2 linked regions of the Lonchura striata genome follow. The protein of the gene in region 1 interacts with the protein of each later gene in a pairwise test. Links are inferred from orthologs where the notes say so. Each region holds a gene or a part of one and is shown in the gene's direction. Other genes may lie near its edges.

The links. The genes of interacting proteins can lie anywhere in the genome.
Region 2: the proteins of TOP1 (region 1) and BTBD1 interact in a two-hybrid assay, tested with the Homo sapiens proteins (2 studies listed by BioGRID). The link is inferred for Lonchura striata from reciprocal best matches to the Homo sapiens genes TOP1 and BTBD1.

What each region holds. Positions count from the first base shown.
Region 1 is NC_134619.1:9,817,468-9,824,398, reverse strand, and holds the start of TOP1 (DNA topoisomerase 1), read left to right. Parts: upstream 1-3,877; 5' UTR 3,878-4,009; coding exon 4,010-4,042; intron 4,043-4,538; coding exon 4,539-4,563; intron 4,564-6,931. UniProt on the Homo sapiens protein: Releases the supercoiling and torsional tension of DNA introduced during the DNA replication and transcription by transiently cleaving and rejoining one strand of the DNA duplex.
Region 2 is NC_134613.1:14,957,606-14,965,098, reverse strand, and holds the start of BTBD1 (BTB/POZ domain-containing protein 1), read left to right. Parts: upstream 1-4,466; coding exon 4,467-4,864; intron 4,865-7,493.

The sequences.
Region 1 (6,931 bases):
GTATGAGTGTTTTGAGCAGGTCATGCTAATGAAAAATGAGTGGGGAGTCGTGTATCTGACTGTTCTTATTTTGTACCAGTGTCACTTGGTTTTAGAGACAGCAGGTTTAGAGGATGACGCCAGTTGGGAATCCTGCACATCAGGCAGGTCTCTGGCTGTGAAAAAAATGTACAGTAGTGATAGAAATATCCAAACCATAGCTCTTACAAATGAGCTGAGACTAAAGACATCACTACAGGCCTTTAAAAATTAGATTTTGGGGTTTAAATGTGTAAATTTTGTAAATGCATTTTGGTTCTTTGTTACCTCTTCACAAACAACATGCGTTTGTTTCATATTCAGATGGAGGGCTTTTGTTGCTTTTTTTTTTTTTCTCCTAAAACATAAACACTAGAAACTGGCCTCTGCCTCTGACAAAAGTAGAGATTTTTACAAAATTATATAAAGGAAAACTAAACAAGTGAACTTGGATCTGTGGAACTGCTAATAAAATTGAATGAGTTGGCAGTGTTGTGCTCTTAAGGCCTGAACTTCTGATATTGTAATCAGAAATACCAAGATATGAGCGTATTTAATTACCAGTTTTGTTTCACTTTCAAACTTGAAGTGTAGCATATAATCAAGTTAAATATAAAGGAGAATCAACTGAAGGAACACAATGAAGATGGCTTCACCTGAGGCTAGGAGCAAGGCTTGGAAAGAGGGCTGTGGAGGGTTTAGGGGTTTGGCTGTCGAGGTTTCTTGCCTTGTGTTGGTCTGTGCAGAAGAGTGTGGACTCAGGCTGGAGCACGGTGTAGGATCCCATCCTGATACAGGACTGCAAAGCTGGCCAGGAAAACAGCACCCACCTCCCTCTCCCAAAATATGCACCCTGAGCACAGTGTGAGGCCCAGTGCACCAGATAAATCAAATCTCACCGTTCACCAGGAAAAAGAACTGAAGGCTTTTCTACTGGATTTGTATCCCGGGTGATTTATTATTTAATTTAAACACATAGTTTCCAGCTGTTTCTTTTTGCAGGCAATCACCTAGGCTACATTAACCCGATGGTGATGTACTGGTCCCAGGGAACCCTGGAGAGAGATCACAGCACTCCGAGGTGTGAACTTCCCCCATTTATCTTGATGGGGTGTGCACAGCCTCGCCAGGGAAGCGGGTCCAAACACGTTAACCCCTTCATTGCCAGCCTCCACCGTGGAAAGGGCTGCTTAGACTCGGAATCTCCCGAGCTGGAAGGGACGCACAAGGATCACTGAGTCCATCTCCCACTTAGGACAACTCCAAGAATTCCCCTGGGCTTAAGAGCGTTGTCCAAATGCTTCTCTGGCAGGTTTGGGGCCACGATCACTTTCACAGGGTTGTAGAGTGGTGTGTCCTATACGAGCCTTCCTCTCGTGGGAGAGCCTCCCGTGTCCCAAGGGATGCCAGCGTGGAAGGGAGTGAGGGAAGTTCAGCCTCCTGGACGGTGGTACTGCAGGTTATAGGCCTGGAGATCATAAGGTTTTTTTTATCATATAGCTCGTTGCAACAGATGGGGCCACACAGGTGTTATGGTTTAATGTGCTTTGAACAAGCTGTGTATTTCCCTGCCTCTTGGCTTCTGACAGCAGAGCAGGGACTCCCTGCAGGCTCCAGGATAACCCTGTGGAAGACTGGGGACAAAAAGGATCGCACGGAGTGGCTGCGTTTGGGAGGCGCCTCTGGGAACACCCAGCCTCCTCCAGCAGGTCGCACAGGTTTGTGTTCAGGTGGGTTTCGAATAGCTGCAGAGAAGGAGGCTCCGTGCAGCAGATGGGAAGCGACTCCTGGGAGACAGCTCGAAGCTGCTGCCTCGGCTGCAGGTTCCCTCCGTGGAGTGAGAGGTGTTTGACGTTCGAGCACAAGGTTTTGCTCGTCACTAATGGCTCTGGCACTGCTACCGCGGCAGTCAGGACCTGAGATACCAAACTGGGAAGCTCCCTGCTCCTTCCGAGCTCTCCCACGCGGCTGTCAGCAGGCTCCTGCCGGCAGCACAGCGCTAAACCTCTCGTGTGCCGGTTTCGGGGGCTCTGCTTTGCGACCAGACGTGCTTGCAAACGCCTGCGAAGGTGGCAGCTGCGGGAAGGGGCCGGGCTGCCTTCCCCTGCACAGGGCTGGCTGCAGCTGCAGCGTGCCGGGGATGGTGGAGGGTCCCTTTCTTGTGGCAGGCACAGCCACCTGAGCAAGGGCTTCTTGGGGAGACAAAGATGTGAGGTTTGAAAGTGAAATTGCTGCTTCAAAGGAAGAGCTTTTAGGAATTTCTAATGTTGGAAGCAGGAGGTGCCAGCCCGCTCCCAGGCTGTCTCAAAAGGCACAGCCCTGCAGCCCTGGATGGCAGCAAGGAGGGGCTCAAACCCAGGGCAAAGCCTGCTTTCACCTCATTCTTGTGAACCAGGGGCACACACCTCTTCCTGATGTCTGAAACAGCTCTTTCATTATGTTTATATTTAAAAATCTAACAGTGACTAAAGCAGTTTGCATAATAAACAGCTCCAGAAATATTTGCCTGCACTCGGTAAAAAAAGGAAGTCCTTAGATCCTCTTCTGAAGACGGTAAGAAAGTGACAGAGTTTTCCCTTTGCAGGATATAAATATGCAGTGCAAATAGGTGGCTGCTGTCACTGCTTACATTTTGATGTATCTCTTCAGATAGCCTGGCAGCGCCAGGTTATTTTAGTGTCAAATCAAAGCTCTGGTTGTGTAAAGAAGCTGAGGAAAGGTACAGTCTGTGTTGCAGCAGAGGATGGAAGCTCCAAGAAGACTGGAGGCAGTCCTGTGAGACACGTACCAGCCATGCATACTAAACCTGCCATTTAGTACACCGACAAGAAAACCCGTTTATAAGCGCTGCTGCGGAACAGAAATAAATGTCTTCAGGTTTGGGCTGAGGAAGGAGGGGTGTTTTTCTAAGCAGGCACGTGCTTCACTATCACATTACCTAAAAGAAAATAAAGCTTTGGCCCCCTTTTACCTTCCTTTTTTTTTTTTTTTTTTTCAGGAGAAAAAATTTAAGACTCTGCTATGCCAGAAGAAAAACCTTGCGGGCTGATCCCTTTTTAATGCTCTTGTATGCAATGCACCAGTGCTGTCCTTGACTAAAAGGAGTCAAGTGAGCCCAAACCTGCCTGATGTGCTTCCCCCCCAGCATCTCCCCGTGGTTCCTGCGGCCTCCGCACTCCAGCCTGGCGCGGTGGCGGGCAGAGACCGGCAGCGAGGGTCAGCCGCACAGATAACACAGCCTGATAACGAGGGGTCTGCGGGACAGGTGCGCGCACCCGCCCGCCTCCCCTCACTAGGACATGCTCTGACTGCTCATGAGCTGGTGCCTGCGGGGGTCTGGCGCGGCGGGACTCCGGGAGAAGCCCCGAGGGCCGCACAGCCGCGGGGGCTGTCACGGAGGGGTTACCGCGGGCAGCAGCGGCAGCGCCGCCCCTCAGAGCGGCCCGCCCGCCATGCGGCCCTGGGGGCGGGGCCTGCGCGGGGGCGGGGCTTGTATGCAAATAACCGGCGGGGCGGAGAGGTAGCGCATGCGCGCTGTGCGCACGGAGCGGCACGAGTTCTTACACAATGCACCGGGCCGGGCGGCCGCGGGGAGGGGGCGGGGCTTAACATGTAAATGAGCGCCCGGTTTTGCCGCGCCATTGGAGGAGGGAGAGGAAAGGGCGGGACCGGATATGTAAAGCAGCGAGCCGGCGTAGCGCATGGTGGAGGGGCAGCGGGTCGGAGCGGTCACGCCGGCGGGGCGTGGCCTGCATGCAAATCATGCCGTCTCTGGGGGCGTGGCTCGCATGCAAATCAGCGCGCGGCCGCTTCCCGCCCCCTGCCCGCCAGGCCGCTCCCCGCCGGTTTAAAAGGCGCCGCGCATGCGCAGAGCGCCGAAAGCGGGACTTAGTCTGTTACACAACCGCGCTGCGCTCCCCGCGTCCCGCTCCGCCCGGCGCTCCTCTGCCCGCCGCTCCTCCCGCTCCGCCCGGCCGCCCGCGCCTCCGGCATGAGCGGGGACCAGCTGCACAACGATTCCCAGGTGAGCGCCCCGTGGCCGCCCGCGGGGCGCGCTCCCGGGGGACCCCCGCCGCGGTGCTCGCATCTCCCCGTGCCGGCCCTGGGCTGGCCGCCTCGCCACCCCCCGTAACCCCAGCGGGGGGACCGTGCCCTGCGGCCGCCCCCATAAGTCTGGGCAGAGCCCTGTCAGCCCAGCTGTCCCCCCGCGGTGGGATGGGGGGCGGCGGGAGCGGGGACCCGCGTGTGACCCCCGGGCTGGGCTGAGAAGGGGAGGGGGCGGCTGCCACGCTTCCCCGGCTCGCTGCCCTTTGGGGGGTCGGGAGGGGTCCGCTCATGAGCTGCGCGGGGGCCGGGGAGGCGCTTCACCGGTTCCCCCATCACCTTCCGCATCGCGCCGGGCTTTTCTCCTTTCGTATTTAATTCCCCTAAAAATGAGGGTGAGGGCGGGGGCGGGGGTCCCCCGGAGCGCCGCGGAGCCGGGCGTGCTGACGGTGTGTCCCTGTGTGCTCTCCCCGCAGATCGAGGCGGATTTCCGAGCGAACGGTGAGTGCGGCCCCGGCGCGCCCCTCGCACAGACATGGCGTCCCAGAGACTAAGTCCCGGCTCCGCGCTCACCGGCCCCATTGTTCCCATCGAGCTGCCAAAAGCGCCCCTTTCCCGCCGGGATCGGCCGCCCCCGACCCCCGCCGCCCCGAGTGGGGGCACCGCAGGGCCCCGATCCGAGCGCAGCGGCTCTGCCGGGGTCGCCTTTGGGCCCCGATTCCTCCCTGGAAAGTCGCCTTGTCGACGGTCGGGACTTAGTCTCTGCGCCATTTTCTTTTTCTCTCTCTCTCTCTCTGTGGCTTTTCTCTCCTTCTCCTCCTCCCCGAGCTGCCGCCGAGCCGCCTCTGCAGAGGCACCGGGCCGCCATCCCCGCCACCAGCCCCTTGTAACCGAGGGGAAAGCAAAGTTTTTAGTTTAAAAAAACCAAAAATTAAAAATCCCAAGTCGCCTTTTTTTTTTTTTTTTTTTTTTTTTAATCGCAGGCTCCCTCCCCCCACTGCTCCCCGTCTCTGTTCCTTTGAGGGAATCCCTTCCTTCCCCTAAAATGAAAGGTGATTGCAACATGTTGCTCTTTAAAAGAAGCTGCTGCATCCATTTTAAGATCAGTCTTATGTTTTTTTCTTGGCTATTTAAGTGATGTGACTTTACCTTGTTAGATGGGTTTTTTAAAATTAAAATAAAGACCTACTTTAAAGAACCTAACAGACCATAGTGTAGACAATTCCAGAAAGGTAGACAGCATCACTTCAGGGACTTTGCAAGCTAACTTCATTTTGTTCAGAAACATTTACAAGCGTCCTGTAGTCTAATATATATATATATTTATATTTATATATATATGTGCTTACATATAATTTTTTGTATATGTATATATTTATATATTAATATATATAAATATATGTCTATATGTATATTTATGTTCATATATGTATATATACATACAATATTGTATTTTCTAATCAGCCTGATGACTGCTAATTTTTTCTGATAATTTATTCATTTTTATAGGAAGCAAGCTGATTGCAAGCCTGCCTCACTTGATAGTTGTCAAATTGAAGGGCTTAAGTAGGGTGAAGGGGAGTTGAGGGTATACAACCAACCTTTGTGTGTGTGCGTGTTTTACTGTCACTATTTGGGATATGTGAGGAGCTCTGAGCTGTCCCCTGACTGCTGAGATGGTAGAGGACAAAAATGTTGGTTGAAAATATCTGCTTGACTTATAGTTACACTAATTTTTAGAATGCTTTTCTGGATGATGTCCACGTGCCTGGTTGCCTTGTAGGCTACTGCATGTAAATATTTACAGATCTACGCTTGCGAGCACCTTTTCTTCTGTCAGTTCATTGGAATGTGATTGTGTGTGTGCAGCAGGGAGCAGACAGTGTCAAATATGCATGTTTTGAACTCTCTATTTCCATTCTGAATTTATAGCTGGGCTCTATGAATAATTCTTATCAGGAAAAAAGGGGTGCAGTGGATTTCCCAAGATGTACGGGTGTAACTCTTGAAGCAATTTAAATATAAGCATATATAGGAATGCTTGTAGCCTTCTTGTGCTGGAAAATACTTGCTTCATCTAAAGATCATCTTGATTTAGGGAAAAATACTCCTTGGTAAGCTTTAGTTATTTAGTTCTGTTGTACATAGAGGAAACGATGTATATTTCACCTTTTGACTCCATCTTCCAGTGAACCCTTCAGAGGGATTTTTCTCCTCTATTGTGACCATGTGCTGTTTTATTCTTCTAAGAGTTTTAGTCATAGAGCTCTTGAAACTCCTGTGGTTTTTATTTCTACCATGTGTTGAAGGAATTCAATACAGAAATTCAAAGTAAGACACCTTGATGAAAAAACGGAATTCCTGGTAAATCAAGTGCACCCAACAAATCCATACCAGTGTAGGCATCAGCACCCTTTCCCTCCTATTGTAATTATTTGTGGCAGTCATGTAACATCATTGTCATTAATCAGAGGCCCCAAAACCCTTTTCAGCACTGGAAGGTACGTGTAACCCTGTTAGTCTTGCTGTGGGAATAATGCTGAATAGACACTGGACTCTTTGACCTTGTGACCACCCCAGATCTCCCTGAAAATCTGTCACCTCTGCTTGCTCTGAGCCTTGTTTCCTCTGCACAGGAGCTCTTTGCACTGGTGCATCAGGAATCGTCACGCACGGATGTGAGAACAGAGGTTCTCCTTCAGGCAGAGACCTGAGGCTCTTGCTCTTATTTTCTTATTTTCATCTTATTTAATGGCAAAGATTAGGAGTGGGTAGTAGGAATCCCAAATGTGCTGGTTCCCCCCACCCCCCCCCCCAAGATATTTAGAATTGGTTTGTACTTTGATTATTGTCAGGCAGCGATAAACAG
Region 2 (7,493 bases), on another chromosome or scaffold:
CTTAAATAATTGGTTTTGTTTTGTAATTACTTTCAGCAAAAAGATGTGATGAATGTTGCTATTGTCCCTTGTGTATGTTTATGAAATGCATAAATGTGCTGAATGAGAAATGAAAGAGTTACTTCCACAACTGGAGTCCTCAAAAACTTCTCTGTCACATTTTCATGATATGTACACATCTCTAAGCCACAATTCTGAAAAAAATTCACAGAAATTATTTAATTAGCAGGAATGTTTACAGTAACAGTGTACTGTAAGTAATAGTTACTATAGAAATTTAATAGAAATTAAAGTACAAATCATTAGTACTGCCACTAAAAATGAGAAAAGTATCACTATAATAGAGGGCACAAGATACATAATTACCTTAATACTCCCGGACAGCTAATGCTCCTAGGCAGCACAGCTGAAAATGCAAAATAAAATCCTCAGATACAAGAATTACTTGTAGAAATGGTAGTGCAAAGAATTATTATGATTTTTTAAATTCTGAGAATGTGGCATTCTTATTGACAGTTTTTGAATACAGATGAATTAATACCAGAGGGAAAAAAAAATACCAGTTTCTCTTATTACTGCTTTTTAAATTCAACATTAAATAGGCACTTTACAAGACATAAGAATAAAACTTAATCCCCGCCCTTAGCATTACTCAGGTCTGAGTCTTCTGTGCCTGAGTGGATCCTGTGCTCCAAAAGCTGGATCTGTTATCTGCAGACCCCATATCCCAACAGTACAGGGATGCAAGCCAGAAAGAAGATAACCATAACAACCACAAGAAAAAGCCCAATGATAAAATGTTGTTTTTGTGGTTGTTATTAACTGTAGTTATCAAAAATTACACATTTGAGCAACTGTAAGGCTATTGGTAATTCAAGTGGTGGGAACAGTAATATGCATGTCTGTCATTCACAGCAGTGGCATGGATCAGAGGGAGGGGATTTTAAGAGTCTAATTGAGTATGGAAAGAAAAATATGTCATCAGATGACAATCATATTTTTTGACATAAGCTTCCAGCCAGGAAGCTTAATCAGAAACAAATCTGTGATTTAGTCTGAATTATCCCCTTCCCTCCTGAAGCACAGAAAGGATGCTCACTGCTTTTGAGAACAATTGCTAATCACTGTGAAAATGTGAGCCGGCTCAAAAACTCTGATCAAAACAACAAACAGCTCCTTAGAGCATACACAAAGCTGAGTTCATGTGGGGAAAAGAAGGGAGGAGAATTTAAATCATTTCGGGAACAAATGGTTGAAAACAATACTCTTAGTAACCTAAACCTTTTAGATGGCTCTCTGAGAACTGGCCCCGTTTCAGGGGCAGGGGAGGCCAGGGCCACTCCTGTGTCTCTGGGACACCCCTGGCATCACAGGTATCTCAGCCATCCCTGCAGCGTGATCACAGCATTCTCTGCTTCCTCCTCAGCCCATGTAAACACACTTTGTCCTCTCTCTCCCTGCTGACAGGTGAAGGAACCTCAAAACTTGGAGAGTAGTACCTTCATGAATTTCCACAGAAAAAAGGCACCAGGTCAGCATGGGCTTGCTCAGGCTATTATGTAGATCTTGAAAATTAGCTGCTCAAAAGTGTAGACACTCCCTGACATTCTGTTTTGCTGGCTAGAGATCAGGACAACCTTCACAGCTACATAATATAATACTGTTGAACTTTTGTTTGCAGCCCTTGATTTGTAACCATTTTGATACGTGAGATCAAACAAAACAATGTCTTCTTGAACTACTTATGTAAATATTTTTATATCCTATACTGATTTCTGCTATATTTCCTAGGCAAAACCTGAAAACACTGAGAAAACAAATAATGGGATTGCATTTTAGTGACATTCATGTGTAGACCTTCTGGAAAAAGTATTGTATATTATTTCTGATCTGGACTGGTAAATACAATCCCATGACATCACATTTAAAAATGGCTGTGATCCACCCACTGAGAATGCCAAAGAAAAGCTGGCTGATTTTTTTTTTTTCAAGAAAGCTAGCACAAAGATTACAAGGTGAAACAAATGTCTGAGGCTCATTGTCTACATGAAGAAAAGCTCAGTGTTAAAAGGAAATATGCTACTTAATATTTTCTTAGTTCTCACTTTCAAAACTGTTTCAATTAGTGCATTTGGCATTTAGCTGGACAGGTCAGATGGACATTCTGGTGACATTTCTCCTTTTCTTTGTCCCTTGCCTTTGTCTCCTTTCCTATGTTGTTGGTTTGGTTTTTTATTTTATTCCTGTTTCTTTCCCCTTATTTTATTTCTCAGACCATCATGCAGGTCTTTCTATTCTTTTTCTATGTTGCATAGCTTGCCTTCTTATGACTGATTTCTCATCCTTGAAGCTGTCTTACACACTTTGTTTGCCCCAGCTGACCTCCTTTTACTTCTCTGCTGCACCTTTCCCTTTTTCCTCAGCCATCTTCCATCCCTGTTAACTTCCTGTAGAGTGTTACTGACACTTTTTGCAAACAAGGTTCTCTCTAAGCAGAGCAGTCATGGTTGTTGGCTCTCAGCTGACAGATTAACCTGTGAGTGAGCACAGAATGATAAAAGCAAAAAGACAGCACTGACAGAAATGTTTATTCATTCCCAGACCATCCCACCCCTGGAAAAAAAAAAAAAAAAGTCCCATTTAAATGAAAATTGTTCATTTAAATGAAAATTATCCATTTGTGTCCAAGGTGTCAGTGTTCCACTTCTCTGTCCCTAAGCTATGAAGGGAATGTGGGGCTCTCCTTCCTTCCCTTCTTTGTCCACCTTGGGAGAATAAAAGTGCAGAGATGATACCTTCATTCTTCTAAGTCAGCAGTAGGATTTTATTTTTAAATATAGCTTCTGTGCAAAGCTAGCTGCTTTCTGGTTGGTAGACTATATCTTCTGGTGCCCTTTCCCACTATAGTTTACCCTGCATTTGAAATTGCTTCCTTCTTGCTAAAGGTTCCCAAAAGCTTGTTCTGCGAAACGGACCACATTTGCTCGGTCGCAGTTTTGTCCTAATTATAAACCTGAATGCAGAGCGGTGACATGTTCTATTCCTCTTTTAGCCACACGCTTCCATAAATGCTGACAAGTCGGGAGCGGTGACAAACAGCTCCCAGCGCCGCCGTGGAAATCGCCGCTGTGCTTACAGCACAACCCCAGCAGATGGCAAAAGGAATCGCCTCGGCCCTGCAGCGGTTTGACAGGACTGGGAAAGCGCAAACACCTCTCATTGCTTTCCCCTTTCTCTGCTAAAAGGAGCACGACAGCGCACAGGTTAATCCACCCGCCTGCACCCTGCTGAGCTGTGCGAGTGCCGCTGGGCACAAGCCGCCTCTCCCCTTTGACTTCTCTCTCCAAGCTAAAACGCCAAATGTCGAGACACACACAGCGTGCAGAAGGAATGTAAGGTGTATGTGCCTTAAAAGCCGCCGATGTGTCAGCTTCACTTCAGACATATTTAAAATAGGTCACCAGCCCTTGCTCCCCCTGTTACCACGGTGAAACGGGCATTATGAAAATGAATTTGCATTTCACGTGCCTAAGCACAATCGCTGCCATTTATTCCCTCCCACGGGCAGCGCTACCAGCCCCGCGCCTGCCGCGGCGCTCTGCGCCCTGCCCGTGTGCCCGCGTCCTCCGCGGCTCTGCAAGCGCAGTCCCTGCGCATTCCCGGGCGCTCCCGGACGGCTTGACGGGCCTGGCGAGCGGCCCGGGGCACATCCCGGGGGACATCCCGGGGTACGTCCCGGGGGCACATCCCGGGGGCACATCCCGGGGCACGTCCCGGGGGACATCCCGGGGGCACATCCCGGGGCACATCCCGGGGGTACATCCCGGGGCACGTCCCGGGGCACATCCCGGGGATATATCCCGGGGCACGTCCCGGGGCACATCCCGGGGCACGTCCCGGGGGTACATCCCGGGGCACATCCCGGGGCACATCCCGGGGGTACATCCCGGGGCACGTCCCAGGGCACATCCCGGGGCACATCCCGGGGTACGTCCCGGGGGTACGTCCCGGGGGCACATCCCGGGGCACGTCCCGGAGTACATCCCGGGGCAGGTCCCGGGGCACGTCCCGGGGATACATCCCGGGGCACGTCCCGGGGCACATCCCGGGGGTACGTCCCGGGGGCACATCCCGGGGGCACATCCCGGGGGTACATCCCGGGGCACGTCCCGGGGCACATCCCGGGGGTACATCCCGGGGCACGTCCCGGGGCAGGTCCCGGAGTACATCCCGGGGCACGTCCCGGGGCACATCCCGGGGGTACATCCCGGGGCACATCCCGGGGCAGGTCCCGGGGGTACATCCCGGGGCACATCCCGGGCACCTCCCAGGCCGGGCCGGGCGGCGGCTGCGGCGGGGCCTGCGCGGGCAGCGGCGCGTGCGCGGCGCGGGGCGGGCCCGCGCTGACGCCGGGGCGGGGCTGAGGAGCGCCCGGCGCGGCCCGGCCCGGCGCGGCCCCGAGGGCGATGGCGGCGGCGGGGGGCGGCCCGGGGGCGCCCGCGGAGACGCCGCCCGCCACCGCCGCGGGCGTCGCCGCCGCCGAGGCCGGCGCGGTGTTGCAGCGGGAGCCGCTGTACAACTGGCAGGCCACCAAGGGCTCGCTGCGGGAGCGCTTCGCCTTCCTCTTCTCCAACGAGCTCCTCAGCGACGTGCACTTCGTGGTGGGCAAGGGCAGCGCCCGCGGCGGCGGCGGCGGCGGGGCGGCGCCCCCCGGGCCCGGGCAGCAGCGCATCCCCGCCCACCGGTTCGTGCTGGCGGCCGGCAGCGCCGTGTTCGACGCGATGTTCAACGGCGGCATGGCCACCACCTCGGCCGAGATCGAGCTGCCCGACGTGGAGCCCGCCGCCTTCCTGGCGCTCCTCAGGTCAGCGCGGGCGGGGGCGGCCGCGCTCGGAGGGGGCTCCGCGCCGCGGCGCCGCTTGGCCGCCGCTGCCTTGGCCTCGCTCCGCGGCCCCTCCCGGTCCTGTCCCCACAGAGCCCGGCCTGTCCCTACTGCCCGTCCCTGGAGGGAGCTGCAGGGAAGGCGCGGGAGTGCCTTGGGGGCTGCGCGCAAGGTCACAGCGCGCTTCCAACGTGGTTTGGTCCCTCTCGCTCTTTACCCTGCACTCTATTCCCAAGAGAAGTGCTCTAATTCCCTGGCAGCTGACTGTCCCTTTAGGGAAGCGCTCGGTGGGTGTGTGGTTGGGCTCTTGGATTCAAGGGTTTTGGTTTGTTAAAGTGAAATGATGGGAATTCCTGGGTCCCCTTGATGATGCAACTATCCAGGCATTTTCTGATAGTGACTAAGAAGGGGCAGAGGCTGTTTGTACTAAGCTTTTCGTTTCATTTGATACTTACCACGACATTTGATACTTTGAAGTCTTAGTCATCTTCCTGTTCACTTTTCTTTCTCAGCGATGACAATAAGTTGTTGCATCTCTTTGCCATAATAACACCCATTGTAATCGTACTTGGGCAGAGGAGGAACATGCAGCAGAAGGCAGTAACCAGCTGATTTTCACTTCCAGGCCGTCTGAGTGTGAGACTGGGAGCGCAATGATATAAAGGATATAAAGGAAGGATATAAAGTGTGTTAGTGATTTCTAATTTGGGCAGAGTAGGATCTGCTATTTTGCGTGCTCACAAAACTGATGATTTTACCTATCATTTATTTCTCTGTACTCAGTGTAGTGGCAAGTAAAATTTATGGTATTCATAGAAGTAATTGCTAATAGTTTATTTGTACCTTGGGCTGTGGTGTGGTAATACAACTAACCTGCATAAACTTAAGGTTTTTATCAAAGAAACCACTCTGCTAGGCAAAAAATATAAACTATAAAATATATAAAACAGTTCTCTCTAATGAACATTTGGGAAACAAGTGATATTATTGCCTGGAAATAAATATGTAGTGTCTCAAAGTTCTTTGTAATAGGAAAAACTTCAAAGTCTTGGCAACTTTCTCCTTTTCCTGAGGCCCAAGAGACAGGAACAATTAGAAGTCACCTGGTCCTTAGGTAATCACAGGCAAAGGAGGTAAAGTAAGTGATGTGCACAAAACCCCCATGAGCAGCAATGTCTTGCTGTTGCTGTTAGCAAATGAACTGTTTTTTGTGGATGTTTTGTGCAGAGGAGCAAGAGGTAGTGGGAAGTGTCTTTTAAGCAAATTGGCTCTGAAGGTTGAAAGTAAATGACAGTGCACATCTGTACGTTTGTGTCTGTATATGCGCGAAAAACGCTGGGCAGGGAAAAGTGGGTGTAATAATACAAGTTTGTCTGGATAAAAATGGAAACACAGAAGCAGAGATTTCTAAGTAAAGATAAGAAGGATGGTGTTTGAGCACTGAGGAATGAATGAAGAGATGTTGTTAAAAGCAAACAAAAGCATCCTGTGTTGTAGGGCTGCCAGTGTGTAATGGCCAGGGGACTTGCGTCAGTGCACTGACTGTGCTTGTGCCTTGTCTGAATATCAGCATACTGGTGACTGCTGAAACAGCTCAGGTTTGCTGTCTCTGCCGGCTCTTCAGGACATTCTTCCATGCTATGTGTATTTCTTTGAGCTTATATTGAAATAAATATGCATTGCAGTACCTTGTTAAAAACATCTCTAGGGAGACCTTCTCTAATACATGCCAGTACTGGGCTTTTTCCATGATGGAAACAACATGGGGTCTTTTCCTGGTGTTGACTGAAAGAGACAGGAATGATACCTTGCACCATTGGCCTCTTTTATCTATCATTAGTAAATCACTCAGATAATGATAGTTACCTTTCACAGGACATTTCCTTAATGCTTGAAAACACCAATGTGAGGTATATTGCCTAGAAGTTCAGTCAGGATGTTTGAATACACATAGCAAATGAACATCAAGTAAAGGAAATGTTTGAGTAATGAAAAACTTTCTAAGCATAATTTACTAATTATTTAATGTTCCTTAGCTCATTGCCATTTTATTTACTCATGTGGTTTGTTGAGTCATGTCGTAGTTTATTTGTTTCATAAGGATCTACTGGCAAATACTACTTGTAAATTAAAGGAAAAGACTTTTTAATGCAAAAATAGTTTGACAGATAAATCCTTAAGACCTGAAATAATATCAAAGTCACAAAGTCACAAAAATCTGTTTCCCAATGAAACAACTTTTGTGTGTGTGTTTTTAACTACAAATTGAATAGCAATGATCAAGAAAATTCATGTTGTCTCAGTAGGTTTCTGCTTTACAGTTTCTTTTTGCTGGTTTTACTAAGATTTTTTTTTTTTAAATTTTCATTCATATTTTACAATAAGCTAACTTGTCCTTTGATCACAGAATAAATGAAAGTGATGATATGGCACAAGTTAAGAGTCTGTCTTCCAAAAATCTTTTCAGAGAATTTTGGCAAGCAGTAAATAAAGGGCTAATCATGGCTAACTTGAAAAAAGGTTCCTGTGTGCTTTTATAATGGTGAAACATTCCAGCTATTGAGAGGATGCTCCCACAAGGGGAGAAGGAAGTGCTAACCTGAGAGTAAAG